Linked DNA regions of Astyanax mexicanus. The protein of the gene in region 1 interacts with the protein of each later gene in a biochemical or structural test. Links are inferred from orthologs where the notes say so. Each region holds a gene or a part of one and is shown in the gene's direction. Other genes may lie near its edges. The genes, in order: slx4 and eme1.

Region 1 (10,005 bases):
CATTGCTGTGATTTCTTGAGAAGGGGAGTCCGGATACTGCTCTTTTTCTATTGTTTATCAGGGGATGATAGTCTGCCTCCATATTCTGAAATTGGTCAGAGAGTCTAAACCATCTAGAAAAGTGATTTAACTCTACAGAAGAAGGAATGAAAGCTCCCTTAGATTGAGGTTGGAGTTAAAACCTGCTGAAATCACTGCGTTAGACTTTGCTAAGGATCAAAGTTAAATTAAGTACCTCAAAACAAGCTCAGGTTTTCCAGCTCCAAATGAGAACCTGGATGTGCTGCATTAGTTTACAGTTCACATCCACTAATGATATTACTCTAAACTTAACCTAAAACAACTAAAAGGAAAGATTTTATATTGTTTTAGTTTAGAGCAGGAGGAACAAATCTTGAGTCAGTAGCTAATTAGCATTTCACCCAATAAAATAGACTACATTACATTTCCTTCCTGCTTCAGAATCTAGTCTAAACATGCAGGGTTCACACAGACTCTGTGCAGAGCTATCTAGATATTTTTGGAAACTTGCAGCCTCTAAAATTGTGCCTATTGAAATATTTGCATGATTCAATAGGAGGATATTGTCGATCAGCTGAACAGGGTTTTTACTGTATTTTATTTATGTTCTCTTGGTCGCAATAAACTAATTAAAAGGCAGCAAAAAACGTCCATCTTTATTCTTGTAATATATATAACTTGAATCTCTTTTTTTTATATATATATAAAGAGTGTCCCTCATAGCAGACATTAACAGTTGAGTGTTAATCCCGCCTGTGTGCGCATGAACTGAAAAAAAAAAGACTTCAATCACTTGAATTTGAAAAATCGTTCACACGATTAAAAAAAATAAGAGCACGAACTGCAATATACATCGCTCTATTAGATTATTTTAATAAAAGGTAAATAAAAGGTTTGTCAAAAAAAAATCTAAAATAATGTTTTTTTAAATAAGTTTCTGAAATGATCAATTTTGTCACTGAGTTTTAATTTTATATTGATTAAAATAGATGAAAAAAAGAAATGAATTAAATGTTCAACCTGTTTTTATAATTTACTGGACAGTCAAAGACAATATGAAAAACCTTATGAAATCTTAATTTAAATGCATAATAATTTAAGATAAAATATGAAGGCAAAAACTGGAAGAGGTTTTGATAACTGCTTTAAAAAATGTTGTCTGAATCGTCTATTCAACCGTTATTTTCATTTGTTTGTCATTTTTTTATATTTTGAAATTATGTAGAAGGGATAAGAGGTAAATGTTTATTAAACTGTAGTTATAAGTGCAGTCAGAAATAAATCTGTCTTATAAAATCTCTAAGCTAATGTTTAAATTTGGATACAATATAATTCATTGGATGGGCTTTCCCTGCAGCCCTGTAATTTTCAACCCTGTTATTTTTACATATATATATATATATATATATATTATATTTGTATATATTTTTATATATTTATTTATATATTTATTTTTGATGATGATAAAATAATATGAGGTAAATGTTTGTTGAACTGTGTGTGTAACCTACAGGATAGTCCAAAATGAATAAAAACTTGATAATAAAATCTTAGTATGTACAATATGTAAAACTCGCGCTGATACATCACAGCTACAACAGGGAGAGAGGAGGGGGAGGGCTCCCTCTAGCGGAAATGAAAATGATAAAAATTAAACTTTCATATATTTTAGATTCACCAACTGCACACCAACTGAAATATTTCAGGTCTTTTATTGTTTTAATACTGATGATTTCGGCATACAGCTCATGAAAACCCCAAATTCCTATCTCACAAAATGAGCATATCATAAAAAGGTTATCTAAACGAGCTATTAACCTAATCATCTGAATCAACGAATTAACCCTAAACACCTGCAAAAGATTCCTGAGGCTTTTAAAAACTCCCAGCCTGGTTCATTACTAAAAACTGCCGACCTGACTGCTGTCCAGAAGGCCATCACTGACGCCCTCAAGCAAAAGGGTAAGACACAGAAAGAGATTTCTGAACGAATAGTCTGTTCCCAGAGTGCTGTATAAAGGCAACTCAGTGGGAAGTCTGTGGGAAGGAAAAGTGTGGCAAAAAACGCTGCACAACGAGAAGAGGTGAGCGGACCCTGAGGAAGATTGTGGAGAAGAGTCGATTCCAGACCTTGGGGACCTGCGGAAGCAGTGGACTGAGTCTGGAGTAGAAACATCCAGAGCCACCGTGCACAGGCGTGTGCAGGAAATGGGCTACAGGTGCTGCATTCCCCAGATCAAGACACTTTTGAACCAGAAACAGCGGCAGAAGCGCCTGGACTACAGAGAAGCAGCTGTTGCTCAGTGCTCCAAAGTACCAGAGTAATTAAGGTGCCAGAGTCTGGAGGAAGACTGGGGAGAAGGAAATGCCAAAATGCCTGAAGCCCAGTGTCAAGTACCCACAGTCAGTGATGGTGTGGGGTGCCATGTCAGCTGCTGGTGTTGGTCCACTGTGTTTTATCAAGGGCAGGGTCAATGCAGCTATCAGGAGATTTTGGAGCACTTCATGCTTCCATCTGCTGAGATCAAGAATTAATTTTTCAGCAGGACCTGGCACCTGCTCACAGGGCCAAAACCACTGGTAAATGGTATTACTGTGCTCAATTGGCCTGCTAACACTCCTGACCTGAAGCCCATAGAGAATCTGTGGGATATTGTGAAGAGAAAGTTGAGAGACGTGAGACTCGACACTCTGGATGAGCTTAACGCCGCTATAGAAGCATCCTGGGCCTCCAGAACACCTCAGCTGTGCCACAGGCTGATTGCATAACTGAACATATCTATTTGAAGGTTGACTTTTTTTGTTTTAAAAACACTTTTCTTTTATTGGTCGGATGAAATAGGCTAATTTTTTCTTTACTTTTTTGCCAAAATCATCAATATTAAAACAATAAAAGGCTTGAACTACTTCAGTTGTGTGTAATGAATCTAAAATATATGAAAGTCTAATGTTTATCAGTACATTACAGAAAATAATGAACTTTATCACAATAAGCTAATTTTTTGAGAAGGACCTGTAGAATCTCAAACAGGAAACAGGAAAAACTCCATAGCTTAGACTGTCCCATTTCAGTAGAGCCGCTGCAGCCTACCCATCCTACGAAGGACACACTTTCGTAGACCGCGTCCTTAGAAGGATACAGCCCCTGAATTGGGACACACCTATAGTCACACATGACGATTGATTGCTGATCATTTTGGAAGATAGAGCTGTGGACTGATGACACTAAAAGTGTTGGAAAAGAACACAACATTCCAAGAACAACACTCTACTGCTCCTCACAGTAAAACGTGGTGGTGGTTCATCGTGCTGTGGGGCTGTGTGATCAGTGCAGCTACTGAGAATCTTGTTAAAGTTTAGAGTCTCATGGATTTCAGTCAATATCAGCAGATTCCTGAGAACTGTGTTTAATCAGTGAGAAAGTTGAAGTTGCGCTGGGGCTGGATACTTTAACAAGACAACTATGCCAAGGGTGTAGGAGCGGGCTTGATATTGGGGGGGGACACATTTGCCAATATGAACCCAAGCCCACCCTATAGTTTCCTAGAACAACATTTGTGGAAATACTTTTAATTAAAAGTAAATTATTATTATAAGGTGATTTTACAACCTTAACATGTTACTCAGTGTAACAGTAACGTTACAGTTACTGTTGTTAGAAAAATTATGCATGCAATGACTGAATTATATACATATGACAAAAATGTTCAGTTATCACCTAATATTTAAAATAATATAACAGATTTGTTTATTATTATTATTATTATTATTATTATTATTATTATTATTATGTATTGGCATGTCAATTCTGTTGTATATTTAAATTTTCTCCTGTGCTTTTATTTATCTACTGAGAGCTCTTCTTAAGATGGTGACATTTTATGTAAAAGAATGTAACTTTACGTTTCATAGAGATTTTTATAAACGTCAGGACATGTGGTCTTACTGTGAACTACAAATGAACAGAAGTCACGTTACAGCAGTGTTTCTCAACCCTGTTCTTACATATTCTACTGAATATTAACACTGTTCTGCATATCAGAGCTTCCTCTGCTTTAAAGGAACTTAATAAAGTAAGTGGTGGTATGATGTGTCTAAAACACTGCTAATATACATGATTAATACAGGCTCCATAGTGGGCTTAAAGATTTTAACAGGTAAACTCAGTAAATGACTGTTTATTAGCTGATCAGCTGGACCAGGTGGAAAACACAGTTTTGGGGCAGTGATCGGGGTTAAGAAACTGCTTTAAACTACAAACATAAAGTACTTTATTAAATTCTGACTATCTACTACATGCAGCTTCTAGATTACTAGTTAGTTAAATTACATTTCTTTCATTATAGCTCACAGTATATCCTGTAATCCTAAATTAATAAACACAGTTGGAAAATGTAATAATGATTAGCTGATCAGGTACAGGGCAAGTTGAACATTACATATATATATATTTTTTTTTCTTTAACCTTGACTCCCACTCTAACTAATTCCAAATTTAAGATAACTGACTCACACAGCTGCAGTTTATTAATCACTGTGGGTTTACAGTTGACATGATTAGCTCCGTTACCTTTCTGTTAGAAAAATCTCCGTATATCCAGATCTGTTTTAAAATCAGCTGAAGCTGCTGCAGCCCGATCCCGCTGCTAAATCTCACAGCCAGGGAGGGGCTTCCCCCGTCAGCAAGCTGATTGGCTGTTTCTACTGGGAGGCGGGACTTAATACCTGAACCGGCTCCGTGATCGGTCTGTCTCCTCATTAATAGTACAGCTGAGCTGAGCGAAACAATATCATTTTGGGGGGGACAAATCCACCTGTTTCTAATATTGTCAATTCACAAATTTATGCACTTGCCTTATTTTGTTTAAAGAATTATTGCACACTTTCTATAAATCTTATAAACTTAATTTCACTTCTCAAATATCACTATGTTCATCTGATATATGATATATTTAACTGAAATTACCGATCTGACAAATTATCAGGGGTGCCCAAACTTTTTCATACCCCTGTAGCTACTATCTTGTACGCTCCTGTGAGTGTCTTTAGGTCTAAACATTTAAAATAATACAAACAATAACCTCACCTGGTCCCTCAACATCAGCACCATAACCAAGAAAACCCAGCAGGACCTCCACTTCCAGCAAAGACTGAGAAAAGCACATCTTCCACCTCCCATCATTACCAGAGGGAGTGTAGAAAGCATCTTAAGCACCTGCATTACCGTCTGGTTTGGGAACTGCAACACCTCAGACCTCAAGACCCTACAGCGGATAGTGAGCACAGCTGACAAGATCTGGCAGAAGAGACAGGAGCATCCGAGCCTCCACTACCAGACTCTGCAACCGCTTCATCCACCAGGCAGTCAGACTCCTCAGCACACAGAGACAGAGCTGAACCCACCCCCAACCACACACCCAACACACTCACACAGAACTGAACTGAATCTCCACCACTATTCACACACACATACAAGAACTGTAGTAAACCCACCCAACACTCTTCACACACACACAGGGACTGAAATGACACCCCATCACTCCTCATACACTTACACACACACAAAACAAAACTGTATCAGACCCCCGCCCCACAGATTTGCAATCTGGTATGTCTGCTATAATATTCGTTGTTCCATGTACCATGGTTCCATAAGAACATAAATATTGTGTTGAAGAAATTAGTACATTTTTCAGAATGAAAATGATTAAACACATATATTAAGCACATATATAAAATCTGATTGTGCTGAAATGCATTTATCACTCAGGATCGTGCGTATACTGGTGGTTCAACAAACCCCTAAAAGATTCTTTTATGGGTATTTCTCTTTGTTTGAGATTATTTCCTGCCATAAACAGCAGCGTGTGTTTGTAGATGAACTAACTACAAATCCCACAAGCCCCTGCGCAACCCGGCGTGAGCGCGAATACGTCACTGTACGTGGGAGAGGCGGTTGTGGTGGAGAATTTTGAACGTAGGTTAGCTAGAGGCTAGCAGGCTAACTAGACTGATTTAGAGAGATTAAAACACGGCTTTTAGACTAAAAACAGCCACCGCTTTCAGTGCGGTTAGTGTAGTCCCACCCACACGAGATGTTAGTGGGGTTTAATGTGATTTCTGTGAAGAAATATAGCTAAAGTAGTTGTTAGCTGGAGTTGTTGTGGTAAGGAGCTGATAGCTGATAGAGACACTGGGTAACGTTAGTTAAACGTTACTTGGTTGGTTGGTTAGGACAGTAAACTGAAGAAGCTACTGGTCACCATGCTGATCTGATCCGAACCTCTGGGAGATGTTGTTCTCTACCTGGCGGCCATGGACGACTCGGACCAGGAGTTCTCTGATCTCTGCTCTCGGCTCCTCAAGAGGGTGAAACGGAAAGATTCTGGGGATGAGAAGAAACCAGTCGCAGCTCCAGATGAAGCTGCAGGTCCCTCTCAGAGCAGAGCTCCCCCCAGGAGGAAGAGGCAGAAGAACGGGCAGCTCCAGAGCCAGGCAGCGGGCAGGTCGCAGCCTGTCTGTCCGGCAGATGGAGCCTCCTTTCTCAGCGTGAAGGAGAAGGTGCTCCGGAGGATGGAGCGCTTTAGGAGAGAGAGTCCTCCCCGGCTTCTCCATGTGGAGGCAGAGGAACATCGGGGGGAGACAGTATCACCACCCAGACGAGGTAGTAATACACTCACAATCATCTGTTATGTTCTACAGTATGTGACTTTCTACTGTATGATGGTTCCCTGCTCATAAGCAGCTTCTGCTGGTCTACACTGGTCTTTGATGGTAAAGGTACTTGAAAAGCTGGTGATCCAGGTGGAAATAGCTACACTGTACTGGCGAACTTGCTGGTTAACCAGTTGTTGACTAGCGTTGTGTATGTTAAATGTGGTCACGATTGGATATGCTGGCATGCATGTTGGTCATACTGATCAGCAGCCTTGGTCATGCAGGTGTAACAGTTAACATTTTTATGTAAAAAATAGCTCTGCAAAGCTGAACAACTATATGGAAACAATATGGTGATGCCAACTATTTCGTAACTATTAAATCTTGTTGCAACTTGTATTGCTGGTGGAAGAGCATCTACTAAATGCCATACATTTAAATATTTGTGTTTGTCAGAGCTCAAAGAAGAAACTGAAAGTGATGAAGCACTGGCTCGGAGGCTCCAGCAGCAGCTGGATCATGAGGCTGAGACCCAGGCTGTGGTGGACACAGAGGGTAAAGGCTTGTTCTTGTGCCAGCTCTGCTACAAAGACCTGTCAGCTATGAGCCCTCAGCTACGCACTCAGCATATCAACAGGTACTGCAGCAGGCTAGCACTAACTACACTGAAACAATACTACTGTGGCAGATTCTTTAAACTGGCTACAACTGGTGATCCTCACTCGTCCAGGATGGCATACATATCTTAGATAAAGTCATATTCCTCCAGTGTACAGTGTACTCCAGTATAGTACACTACACAGCCAGATCATATTTGTAACAGGAGTCAATTATAATAATAATGCACTCCAAAGATCTCCATAAATCCAGGAGTAAAGTAAAATAAATTATACTGGACAGATATAATCTGTCTCTAGTAGACAAATTCGTACAGTGTGAATTCCCTTTTCTTAAAAATAGCAAAAAGTGGTGATATTTCAGAGTATAATATCATTCACAATATTCAAATATGTTGGCGATATTATTGAGTATAATACAGCACACCCCTAATTGGCACAATATTACAAAACTCAATATTGTAATACTTTGCTAACAAATTGGTATTTTCCTTTGTTATCCCTGTGTGGCACAGCATACTCTTATGCTCTCCTTCATCTCCTTGATTCAGGTGTTTGGATGAGAGTGAGAGCTCCTCTGAAAAAATCTCTGAAGCTCCTGCTGCTCCTGCATCTGCACTCCAGCCTCGAGTTCCAGAGTGCCCAATTTGTGGGCGTGGCTTTAAGTCTGAAAAGAGTCGTTCCACTCACTTGAAGCGCTGCTCCGCCAGCATGGGCGTGTCTCCAGCTGAGCTTCTGCAGGCCTTGCAGAGACAGGCGTCTGAAAGTTTGAGCGATAGTGCGGCTGAGCAGTAAGTAGCTTCATATTTTTGTTTAAAATGGTATATGACCTCAATCACACACACACACATACCTGTGTATATGTATGTATGTGTGTATATATATGTGTGTGTGTGTGTGTGTGTGTATATATATGTATGTATATGTAGAGTTTTAATTTAACAGGGGAAACAGAAACTGATCAGGCTCTGTAAGTGGTTCTGGTGGTTTTCTCCTTCTGCTCTTGACTCCCAGTCGGCAACTGGACCACATATGTAGCATGCCAAATATTTGCCAGGTGTCTGCGACTCGTCAGCGATCACTTTGTGACGGCTCGGCGAGTGTCTTTCAGTATTTCACACCACACATCTAAGTGGACGCTGAGAGATTTCTACAACAAACGACTCACCGCTGTGCTTGCAAACAAAGGCTTTGCCACTAAGTGGATTCCACTCTCTCTTTTACAGCTCACATCAACTCTGTGGTGAAAACTGCATTCTTTCATCTGCGCAGAATAGCTAAAATTCCACGATCCGTTACTCAGTCCACTGCTGAAAAACTCCTTCATGCTTTCATTTCCAGCAGACTAGATTACTGTAACTCCTTGCTTGCTGGCATTAGTTCTTCCTCTATCCATAAACTCCAGATGGTACAAAACGCAGCTGCCCGTTTACTCACTCACACTCGCACCCATGAACACATTACACCTGTTCTCCAAAATCTTCACTGGCTCCCTGTTAAATACAGGATTCAATTCAAGATTCTCTTACTTACCTATAAGGCATTAAATAATCTTGCACCTCCTTATCTGTCAAACCTCCTTCTTCCTTACAGACCATCTCGATCCCTTAGGTCTGCTACTGCTGGACTTCTTAAAGTCCCAGCCTCTAAACTCCATGGCTTTGGTGATCGGGCTTTTTCCAGACTTGCTCCTCAACTATGGAATTCTCTCCCATCTGCGGTCAAACAATCCTCCTCTCTTTCCTTGTTCAAATCTACACTCAAGACTCACCTCTTTTCTCTTGCCTACGGCCTTCCCTCTGTTTAATGTACTATACCACTTATCCCTGCTGTCTGTTCTCGTACTATGTTGATTTTCTGTCACCACTTGTGTAATGTTTCTATTTGTTTTCACAAATGATGACTGTAAGCGTCTTTGGGTTTTAGAAAAGCGCTATATAAAAATAAAGTATTATTATTATTATATTAAGTATTGAGTGTGTTTGGCAAGAGAGATCAAATACTTATTTTCCTCATTGAAATACAAATTAATTAAAATATATTCTTTAAAATTATATTCTGGATTTTTGTCTTGATATTCTGTCTCTCCATGTTAGAATATATCTACTAGGGGTGTCACGATTCTCTAAATCCTCGATTCGATTTCATTTTCGATTTGAGGGTCACGATTCGATTCGATTCTCGATTTTCTTGTTTTTTTTTCTTGTTATTATTTTATGCCTCATAAAATTTAAATATATTTATTATTATTATTATTATAAATATTATAAATATTATTATTATTTATTAAGATATATATGGTAATGCCATCTAGTGACTTATTTTGGTAGCAACAGTGTGCACTATTAAAACAAGCAGTTTATCAGAGCTGTGTGTGGATGGATGGTGAAACTGCTCACTTACATGAAGCTGCAGTTCTTCATCAAACCACTAGTCGGAGCTGCAGCAGCAGCACAAGCCCAGCCACGGGCTACAGAGCTCAGCCAGTCCGTTTTTACTGTTTCTGTAAACAAATAAAGGTTTTAACCCCACTAACCGGATAATACAGCTCACTACAGTTCATCTTTCAGCCCAAGCAGCTAACAGCAGCAGGTTAGAACAGCCGACACGGAGGCACTGCTCGGATTACATTATAAACAGGTCAGTTAGCGCGCTGCTAACCTCAGGATGTTTATAACTACGGAGTTTAGTGGACACACCACGGCCGCCA
Region 2 (9,619 bases), on another chromosome or scaffold:
CTTATCAAATGGGCTCCCTCATCAAATACGCTCCACGCTTATTTTCCTCCTTCCAGGAAAAAAGCTTTTAGTGTTGTTTTTGTTTCACCGTTTGTAGGGCAATGGTTAACTAAAGGCAGACAGAAACTTAAAAAGATCTATTTGATCTAATAGAAGACATTGGGTTATGTTCAGCAGTGGTTAAAAATGGATATTAGTATAATAAGCATCAAATTGTCCTTACTGCAAAGTGATTTTCTTTATTTTTCTTTTCATTATTTGGTTATTTGTTTAACCTATTGACCCTTTGCATTGTATTCCCATAGCCTTTTTACTTAGCAGATTTATCGTCTTGTTTCCACACTTACCGAGCACTTTGTAGTTGTATAATATATATTTAACCCTTGTGTGGTGTTCGGGTCTGTGGGACCCGTTTTCATTTTTCATCAAATGATACTAAAAATATATTTTTTCTAACTCAAACTCATTGGCATTGGCTCATTTTTTGTGAAAAACATATATCAAAACACATTTTCGATAAACACACACTGTACACCCCCTAATGTCTCCATCCGCTAAAATCCTCTTGTTCTTGTTGTTTGTGAAATACAGTAGGTCTCTGAGTTGTTTATGATGCTGCACATGATGAAACTCTTCCTCAACCTCCATTGTCTGTAGTATCTAGTAAAATAAAACATTCAGGAAAAAAAAACAAGTCGATCAGGAAAAGCACTGTGTCTACATCAACCCGTGAATTAGTATTCATGGCCCCGCCCACCTCGGCTCGGGACCGCCCACAGGCAGAGCTGAAGCCGGGCAGCGACGCCGTCTCATCAGATAGGAGATAACTAACAGCGCTAGAAACAGCATGCAGTTCATTCCTGTGTTATTTGTGCGAATAACACATCAGTGTTCATATACTTTACCCAGTAATTCAGAGCTAAGAAACAAATGGTTAGAATTAGTCTATGGAGGAAAACACCACCAGCCAAGTACAATTGAGATAGATAGGTGTTTAGATGTTTAGAACAGTTCTGTTTACACTAGTTAAAAGTAAAAATCCACCCCGGGGTGGATTTTTACTTTCTGGACCTGGACTAATAGGTAACTATAGGTTTAAATAGGATCTTCGGTGGATTTGGTGTTTTACAGAGACTCTTAAGTCTAGGTCAATATAGGCTGAACTGCACTTAGCAGGGCATTATTACACATGTTGTAAAGTAACATATGACATTGTAAAGACTGTTATTAGTGTAAAAATGTCTTTATTTTAAAACATTTTTAAATGTCCGTCTCACTGCCTCCTGGTGTCGCAGTGCTGTAAGCCAATCAGAGGCGATATGTTTGCATGTATGAATATTCGTGAGCAAGAGCCGAAATCCTATCGTTTCTCTCTGTCCCCCCACTCTTCCACTGGACTAAAACAGCGTTATACTGGATCGCCGGAGATTTTTTTTTTTTTCCACTCATACTAGAGACCACAACTAGACTTTTTAAAATTAATAAAAATGATGGAATGAGTCCTTTAAGAAAGTAAACAAAAGCAGGTGATTTCATACCAGTAGAGTAGCTCATTTATTCACAAACATAAAAAAAAAAAAAAAAAAATTTGCCTTATGGGTGAGGCAATTCTCCATTAAGTCCATAAATGATCCACATCAAAATGCAAAAGTTCACATGAGTTAAACAGCGAGTCTCTTTTAAACCAAGTCGACCAGTTTGAAATTGTTCTCCTGCTTGGTGGGAACAATGTTGATGAAGGATTTGTAGAGAACGGCTCCTTTCGGGAGCTTGGGGATCATATGTCTCGCTTCAGCACTGCGAGGACGAGGAATGTACACCTCCTTGGTGAATCTGACCCTGCCGTCCTCCAGGGCGAAGAGGGTATTGTTCGTTCCGATGCCAACCTGTGAGAGAAAAGACAGAGGAGCGACAACTGAGGGTCAGTTTATGTGGCAATTTAAGCAATCTTAGGGTTAGTTTATTAGAATTCAGTACGTTTTAGTCAGGCCGAGGTCCGGATCGTCATCATTTTTACCTTGTGTTATGATTAGGGGTGAAACGATAAAAAATTGTAATGTGAAAATGTTTTAAATATATGCTTTATTTATTCTATTTGATTTTGTTTATATTAGATGTAGGCTGCCTGTCATAAAAATAATTACATAAATGACAAATCATACGATACAATATATGGAGAAATGTTCGTTATTTGCTGAACTTGGTTTTATTTTATTAACTGTTAGTATGTTTTATAAATAAATGTAGTAATTTAATTTAATTTTCTGGTGCGCACCATCTAAATCAGCCTTTCTTGCTTTATTCTCTGACTGCTGCTTCTAACTGCATGCTTTGCCCATGTGTAGCTCCACCCTAAAGCATCTGCACAGATCTGATTGGCTGAGGAGAGCGTTTGGTGATCTTACAGAACAGGTGATTGGTCTGTGGGTTTACTGACCAGACCAGACCCACGCTCTGCTTATTAATGACCTCTGATTTACACCAACAACAACAATTAGGACACCCTACATCTCTATCGCTACATATACATGTTATATTGTCAAAGATAAAGTAATAACAAAAAAATAATAATAATAACACTTACATGAGCTCCTGGGTGCCAGCGCAGTGCCCGCTGTGTTGCCAGGATGTAGCCAGCATGAACAAAATCTCCTTTAAACAAAAATAAACCAAAGATTAAAGTAAAATATGAGGAGCTTGGAAAAATGAAGAAAGTGCAGGACTAATAACAATGCAAGTAAAGACACAGAACATAATTTTTTCCCGCGTTTCCCACTGTCACAAATCCTTGTGTGGATTCTTAAAATAATTACGATTAATGATATTAGTGTATTTTAAGACCATTTTTGCCACTGATATATTCATAATATAATAATAACAACACAATAATGTCATTACTTCCATTTAAAGAGAAATATATATATATATATATATATTGAGAATTTCTAAATAATTAATGGAAATATAACCCATACTCTAAAAGAGGTTGTGTATTGTATAATAAATCCATAACACAATTATCGCGACAGGCCTAGCTGTTAATAGTGCCTAATAATCCTTGAATTATGTAATTTTTTTTATAAACAGTAATTAATACCTTCGTGTTGTTTAAATCCGTATCTGCGGCCGGGACTTTTGCCTCCCAGATTTTTACTGCTTCCTCCGGCCTTCTTAGATGCCAGTCTTGTGGGCACCACCACTGCTGGCACTGGGCATGATGTGAGAAAACCTGCAGAGAAAGAATACACATACAAGGTGTGTGAATAAATACACTTTTAATATAGTTTTTGATGTCTTGCTGATTGTTAATTTGGCTATTCCTAATCTGTTTTTCAATCTGTTTGATATGCCTTCAGCACCTGCACTTGGGCCACATATTAAGAGTAGTTTATAATAGGTGGTAAATATAAAAGAGGAACTAAACCGTAAACTTAAAAAAAAAAAATTATTAATAGCTGAAATGTGTTCCTCTGTAGTAATAAAACATTTATAGTAATAAAATTTTTTATAACATTTATATTATTTATTTTTATAAACATTTCCTAACCTTTAAAAAAAAACACTTTTATTTGTGCTATAGGCGAGGATAATGTTCCCGTGTATTTTAACACCCTACACGCATTAGGCAAATCAGTCAGTTAGTTCCGCCCCTAAACCCATACATCACCCATTGCCACACATTTTATTTTTTTTTGCATTTACCAAATTTGAGCTGAGGGTAGAGTCAGTTAAAATCAAGGGGTTTAATTATCTTTAATACTTAGTGAATACAGTCAATTCAATATTTGAATACAGTGAGAGTATAATTAATTATGTTTTATTGGAACAATAACTAATTGTATTAGTTTGGTAGCAGTTTTGAACTTAAAATGCTGCAATTGCTAGAAAAATAAAGCAACTAAAACAGCAACAAGCCATATACTCAACTCATATACTTCCAGTTTGTCTGTAAAATACACAGATAAGGAGCAGCTGTAGCTTAAATAAACAGAGATACAGAGAGATACAGAGAAAGAGATAGAGAGAGAGCGATACACAGAGATACACAGAGAGACACAGATAGATACACAGAGATACAGAGAGACACAGATAGATACACAGAGATACAGAGAGACACAAAGATACAGAAAGATTCACAGAGAAATACAGGGAGACAGGGAGATACAGAGAGAGATACAGAGAGAGATACAGAGAGACACAGATAAATACAGAGAGACACAGAGAAATACAGAGAGACACAGAGAAATACAGAGAGACACAGAGAAATACAGAGAGACACAGAAAGACACAGAGAGACACAGAGATACAGAGAGACACAGAGATACAGAGAGACACAGAGAGATACAGAGAGACACAGAGATACACAACGAGACACAGAGATACAGAGAGACACAGAGAGATACACAGAAAGAGATAGAGAGAGAGCGATACACAGAGATACAGAGAGACACAAAGATACAGAAAGATTCACAGAGAAATACAGGGAGACAGGGAGATACAAAGAGAGATACAGAGAGAGATACAGAGAGACACAGAGAAATACAGAGAGACACAGAGAGATACAGAGAGACACAGAGAGATACACAGCGAGACACAGAGAGATACACAGCGAGACACAGAGATACAGCGAGACACAGAGATACAGAGAGACACAGAGAGATACACAGAGAGACATAAAGATACAGAGATAAACAAAGATACAAAGAAAGACACGGAGCAATACATTAAGATACAGAGACACAGAGAAAGAAATGCAGAGAGAGAGGGAGATACAAATAAATACAGGGAGATACAGAGAGACACAGGGGTCAGGATACTGCAGGATTACAGCACCAGCACATAACACCTATAATACAGAAACACAGAGCGACAATCACACAGCGACCCGTTCCCCGCATATACCCGCCTCCCTGCCCGCTCCACCCCGCGCTGTGGATCACAGTAACACGCAGAACCGCGGATTAAACCCCGGGACTCACCGGCTCTGGGTCGCAACAACAAGGACACGAGCGCAGCCATGCTGGAACACGCGCCGAGAACCACGCTCCGCCAGATCCCGCGAGATTTCAACAAACCACGCCCACCGCACTTTTACTCAGTGTAGGAGACTAAAATATTACATTAAAAACAGAAAACAATTAGACTTTTCTTGAAACGTTTAAAACGTTATTCAATGATAAATGAGGAATAATAAACATGTAAAAAAAAGTCTCTCTCTCTCTCTCTCTCTCTCTCTCTCTATATATATATATATATATATATATATATATTTTTTTTTTTCACACAAATATACAAACAACTATACATTTTGGCAAATACACAAGATATATTAAATTAAAACGCGAAACAATTAGATTTTAGCTGTATTACTGTCTATTGAATAAGTAAATTATTTTCTTTTTGTTTTGTAAATGAAAAAAAGTGTTTTTTAATGTTCATTATTCAGGTTCTAACATAAAATATACATTTGGTGAGTACAGAGTATATCAGTAAAATAAAGTAAATAAGTTATTTTCTTATTATTTTCTTATTAAGTATTATATATTAAGTATTTTATTCTTTTTCATTTGAAAAAGCATTTTAAGTGTATTTGGAGCAATTTATTTGGTTACTTATGTAATATTTAAATATATTTGGAGTACTTTTTGGTTGTTTTTTCAACAAAAAATATAGGTTTATATACTGTTATTTATTATTTTTTGTTTATGTGCAGTAAACTTATAGTTATATTGATTTATTTAATAGTTTTTATTTAGTGTAGTATAGTACAGTGTGCAGTGCTGAGCTGCTGGGTGGCCGCAGGGGGTAGCAGTGGGCTGTACACGGTGTAGAGCTGCTTCCCGGCGGCAGGAGAGGAAGAGGAAGCCCGGGAGATTGAAGAGTGGAGGGTAAACAGAGCGGAGATTATTTACTACAGATTTTTACACAGTTTTAACCTTTTTACTTCTTTATTAGGCCTTTATTTCACACCCAGCGCTGCGAGGAGTGCTGCTGCCGTCTTCCACACCCGCAGTAAGTGTTTATGGTGCTGTAGTATCGTTTATATAACTTGTATATAGTTTATATAGTTTTATATTTCATATAAACACTGTGTATCAACACATTTACTACTGAAAACAACAATTACTGTAATTTAACACATTATTACACATATAGAGAAATGTTATCCGTCACTTTAAAGAACTTTTAATACATTTTTCACTTTAGTTTTCTATAAAGATGCACTAAACCATATTTTTTCATTTATTTATTAACAGCTGTAAAATGTTAATTTGAAGTACTGAAACATACCAGTTCTGCTTAACATTTTATAAACATTTCCTAATCTTTAAAAAACGCCTTTCTATTTTATTTTATTTACTTTTTTTCCAGCGCCCTCGCAGGTTCAACTGTACTATAGCCAAGGATGATGTGTTCTGCCCCCAACCCTAAACCCATACATCACCCAGTGCCCCTCCCTCCCACACTACTCACTTTTTTAGTGGTCGACTAATCTGCCGATAATTTTTTCGATTAGTCGATTCGTCATAATTATTTTTATCATTCCCTCCATTTGTGTTTCCTACTGATGAGGAATATGATCTAATTATATACCTATATATATATATATATATATATATATATATATATATATATATATATATATATATATATATATATATATATATATATATACACAAGCCGGATGTTATTATCAGGAATTCTATGAGAGTTAAATATGTCTTTATTAAGAATTTATACATTACTTTGTATTTGATCATGTTTTCATCAAAAATGTAAATAATCTGTTCAATTTTTATAGTTTTACTGCCAGGAATATGTATAAGGTCTTAATCACAGTTGACATAAAAAAAAACTAATTATAATAATGTTGTTTTTTAGGACTTACTTGTTTTATTGTTAATATATTTTCCTATGTACTGCATCATTGTATTGTCTCTGTTACCTGATAACTTGGTCAGTCATATAATTAGCCCCAAAGTTAAAAAATAGTCAAAAATAGTCACCCCTAGTTGTTATATTTATTGTATGCTGCAAAAGGACAAAGCAAAGCTGGCCTAACTACAATTCAATGATTTAATCTAAGTTAAAAAAAAAAAAAATTGTACTAGTTTTGATGTTAAAGTTATACTGGGGTGTGTAATCTCTCTGTAAGCTATAAACATGTATATCAGCAGAAATATACATATGTAATATTGGATATTGACCCAGAATTCCTACATCAGTGCATCACTATTAAAAATTAAAAAGTGATTAAGCTAAAAAAAAGTTTGATTTCTCTTTAGTCTGAAGACATGAAGAATAAAAATCTTAATTTTTATGAGACTCCAAAAGGCACAATATTCTGAAAATGATCTCTCCTAACCCAGTTTACCCTGTTTTTGTTGTTCTGTCTCAGTAACAGTAATACTTCTCCTGATAGAGAGATAAAGCAGGAAAGTTTGAGCTCAGTTCAGCTGCTACATTATTGATGCGGTTTTGGCGCCTCATTTTTATCTTCTACATTATGTAGGTTGGCCTAGAAAAGCTTCACATCAAAGCTGTAAATGTAGGATCATCTCACCTTCCCGCTGCTCGCTGCAGTCAGGTCTACTGAGGTAAATCAGCAGCTCTGCAGCCTCTCGCCAACACTCAACATTATATCACCTACTCTCTTTATTTTAGTACTATATTAATACGCTGATATCTGATAGGATTTATTATATATATATAAATATATATATAAATATATTTAAGGTTAATTTATCAAACATATTTTTAGTGTATAAAAATGGGCAAAAAGTATTAGTGAAATAAATGACTATATGACTTGTATCACAATACAGGGGTTATGAATTAGTATGTTTCTGTACTGTAATTAGTGCAATGTATTTGTTCATTTAAAAAAAATATTAAAACACCATCAAATACATAAAATCAGAGTAAAATAAAAGTGTACTGTTTATCCAATCAGAATAGTAGGATGTGAAGACATTTAGCAAATCTTTGGAGGTAAACCCTTTATTAAAAATCAATATTGAATTTTTGAGAATCAATACAGTGCTGCATAAAAGTCTATTTCTAATATCGATATTGTATTACACTCCTATTTGACATGTATGAAATTGTATTGTCCAATAAATATATATTTTTATTGGTCTTGCTTTTTTAAAATCCCATGCCAATACATAGGGAAGGGGTTGTCAAAGGAAAATAATGAAATAATAATAATAATAATAATAATAATAATAATAATAATAATAATAATAATAATTATTATTATTATTATATTGAAATATATTATCAGTATATATAATATACATATATATATATATATTTTGCTTATATATTTTAACTTTTATGTGCTTATTTTTAGTTGCATTCTTATTTAAAAGTATCTTGTATATCTTGTATATCTAAGATCTAAATAAGAATGCAACTAAAAATAAGCACATAAAAGTTAAAATATATAAGCAACAAATATATATATATGTATATTATATATACTGAATTTTAAGATATGCCAAGTTCAGTATTTTACCATTTATTGTAAAGTAAAATAGTAAAAGAAATATAGTCTTAAAATAGACTTAAAAAAGTCTTAAATAATAAAAAAAATTATATATATATATATATATATATATATATATATATATATATATATATATATGTGTGTGTGTGTGTGTGTGTGTGTATATATATATATATATATATATATATATATATATATATATATATATATATATATATATATATATATATATATATATACATATACATACATACATAAAAGTAAGCTTATCTGATCTTTACCATGCTATTTTTGCATGATCTGTACAGTTAGAACGCTGGTTCTCAATTCATTTCTTGTTTAATGTTTTTTTTTGTTCATTTGTTTAATTTTAGTGAATATTTAGTTCTAGCTTTGATCAATGTTGGGTTACATGAGAAAGAGAGGCTTTCAGAAGATATATCGATTTATGTTTTAGTAGTTATTGTTTTCTTTTTTATGCTTCTTTTTGGGAAATTATTCCCATATTTCCAAATGCTTTTTTAAAATTGCATTTTAAATAGTTTAATATAGAATAAACTTGCATATTTCCTCTTTTTACAGAGTGAAGGAAGCCGGTGGTGATTGAATGATGGGATCCAACAGCAGACCATGCTTACAGTTCAGCGATACGGACTCCAGCGACTCGGAGGAGCTTCCTTTTATTAATTTCTCACAGCGTGGAAATGCCCAGGATAAAACAAAGAGCTCAAAATGTGATCTAGTGGTTGTGGACGGCTCTGAGGCTGACTCTGACTCCTGGACCAAGAGTGCCGTTCCTGCAGTAGCTGGATCTGGAGCTGTGATGAAGAGTGATGTTCATATGGTGAGCAGCAGTGAGAGTGAGGAGGAGGAGGAGGCCTTTATTCCGCTGGCTGTGAGACTAAAGCAGAAACAGAGCGATGTCTCTAAAGCTCAGACATCATTGGCCAATCATATCGCTGCTAATCATAACGGAAACTTAACAACGGCTAAGCCGTCACCAGCCCTGTCTGCTCACCGTGTTCCTGAGACCGGGCCGGCAGCGGATTATCTGGGAAAATATTCCAGTAACATTAGTCATCAGAGCGGTAATTATGACGCAGCATG

The links.
Region 2: the proteins of slx4 (region 1) and eme1 form a complex in vitro, tested with the Homo sapiens proteins (3 studies listed by BioGRID, with this or other methods). The link is inferred for Astyanax mexicanus from reciprocal best matches to the Homo sapiens genes SLX4 and EME1.

What each region holds. Positions count from the first base shown.
Region 1 is NW_026040046.1:1,761,386-1,771,390, forward strand, and holds the start of slx4 (structure-specific endonuclease subunit SLX4), read left to right. Parts: upstream 1-5,951; 5' UTR 5,952-6,336; coding exon 6,337-6,685; intron 6,686-7,134; coding exon 7,135-7,315; intron 7,316-7,846; coding exon 7,847-8,086; intron 8,087-10,005. UniProt on the Homo sapiens protein: Regulatory subunit that interacts with and increases the activity of different structure-specific endonucleases.
Region 2 is NC_064422.1:44,691,702-44,701,320, forward strand, and holds the start of eme1 (crossover junction endonuclease EME1), read left to right. Parts: upstream 1-5,805; 5' UTR 5,806-6,012; intron 6,013-7,513; 5' UTR 7,514-7,598; intron 7,599-9,094; 5' UTR 9,095-9,119; coding exon 9,120-9,619. Other genes in the region: mrpl27 (39S ribosomal protein L27, mitochondrial), read right to left, coding at 1,680-1,886, 2,585-2,652, 3,098-3,229, 4,980-5,019. UniProt on the Homo sapiens protein: Non-catalytic subunit of the structure-specific, heterodimeric DNA endonuclease MUS81-EME1 which is involved in the maintenance of genome stability. In the complex, EME1 is required for DNA cleavage, participating in DNA recognition and bending.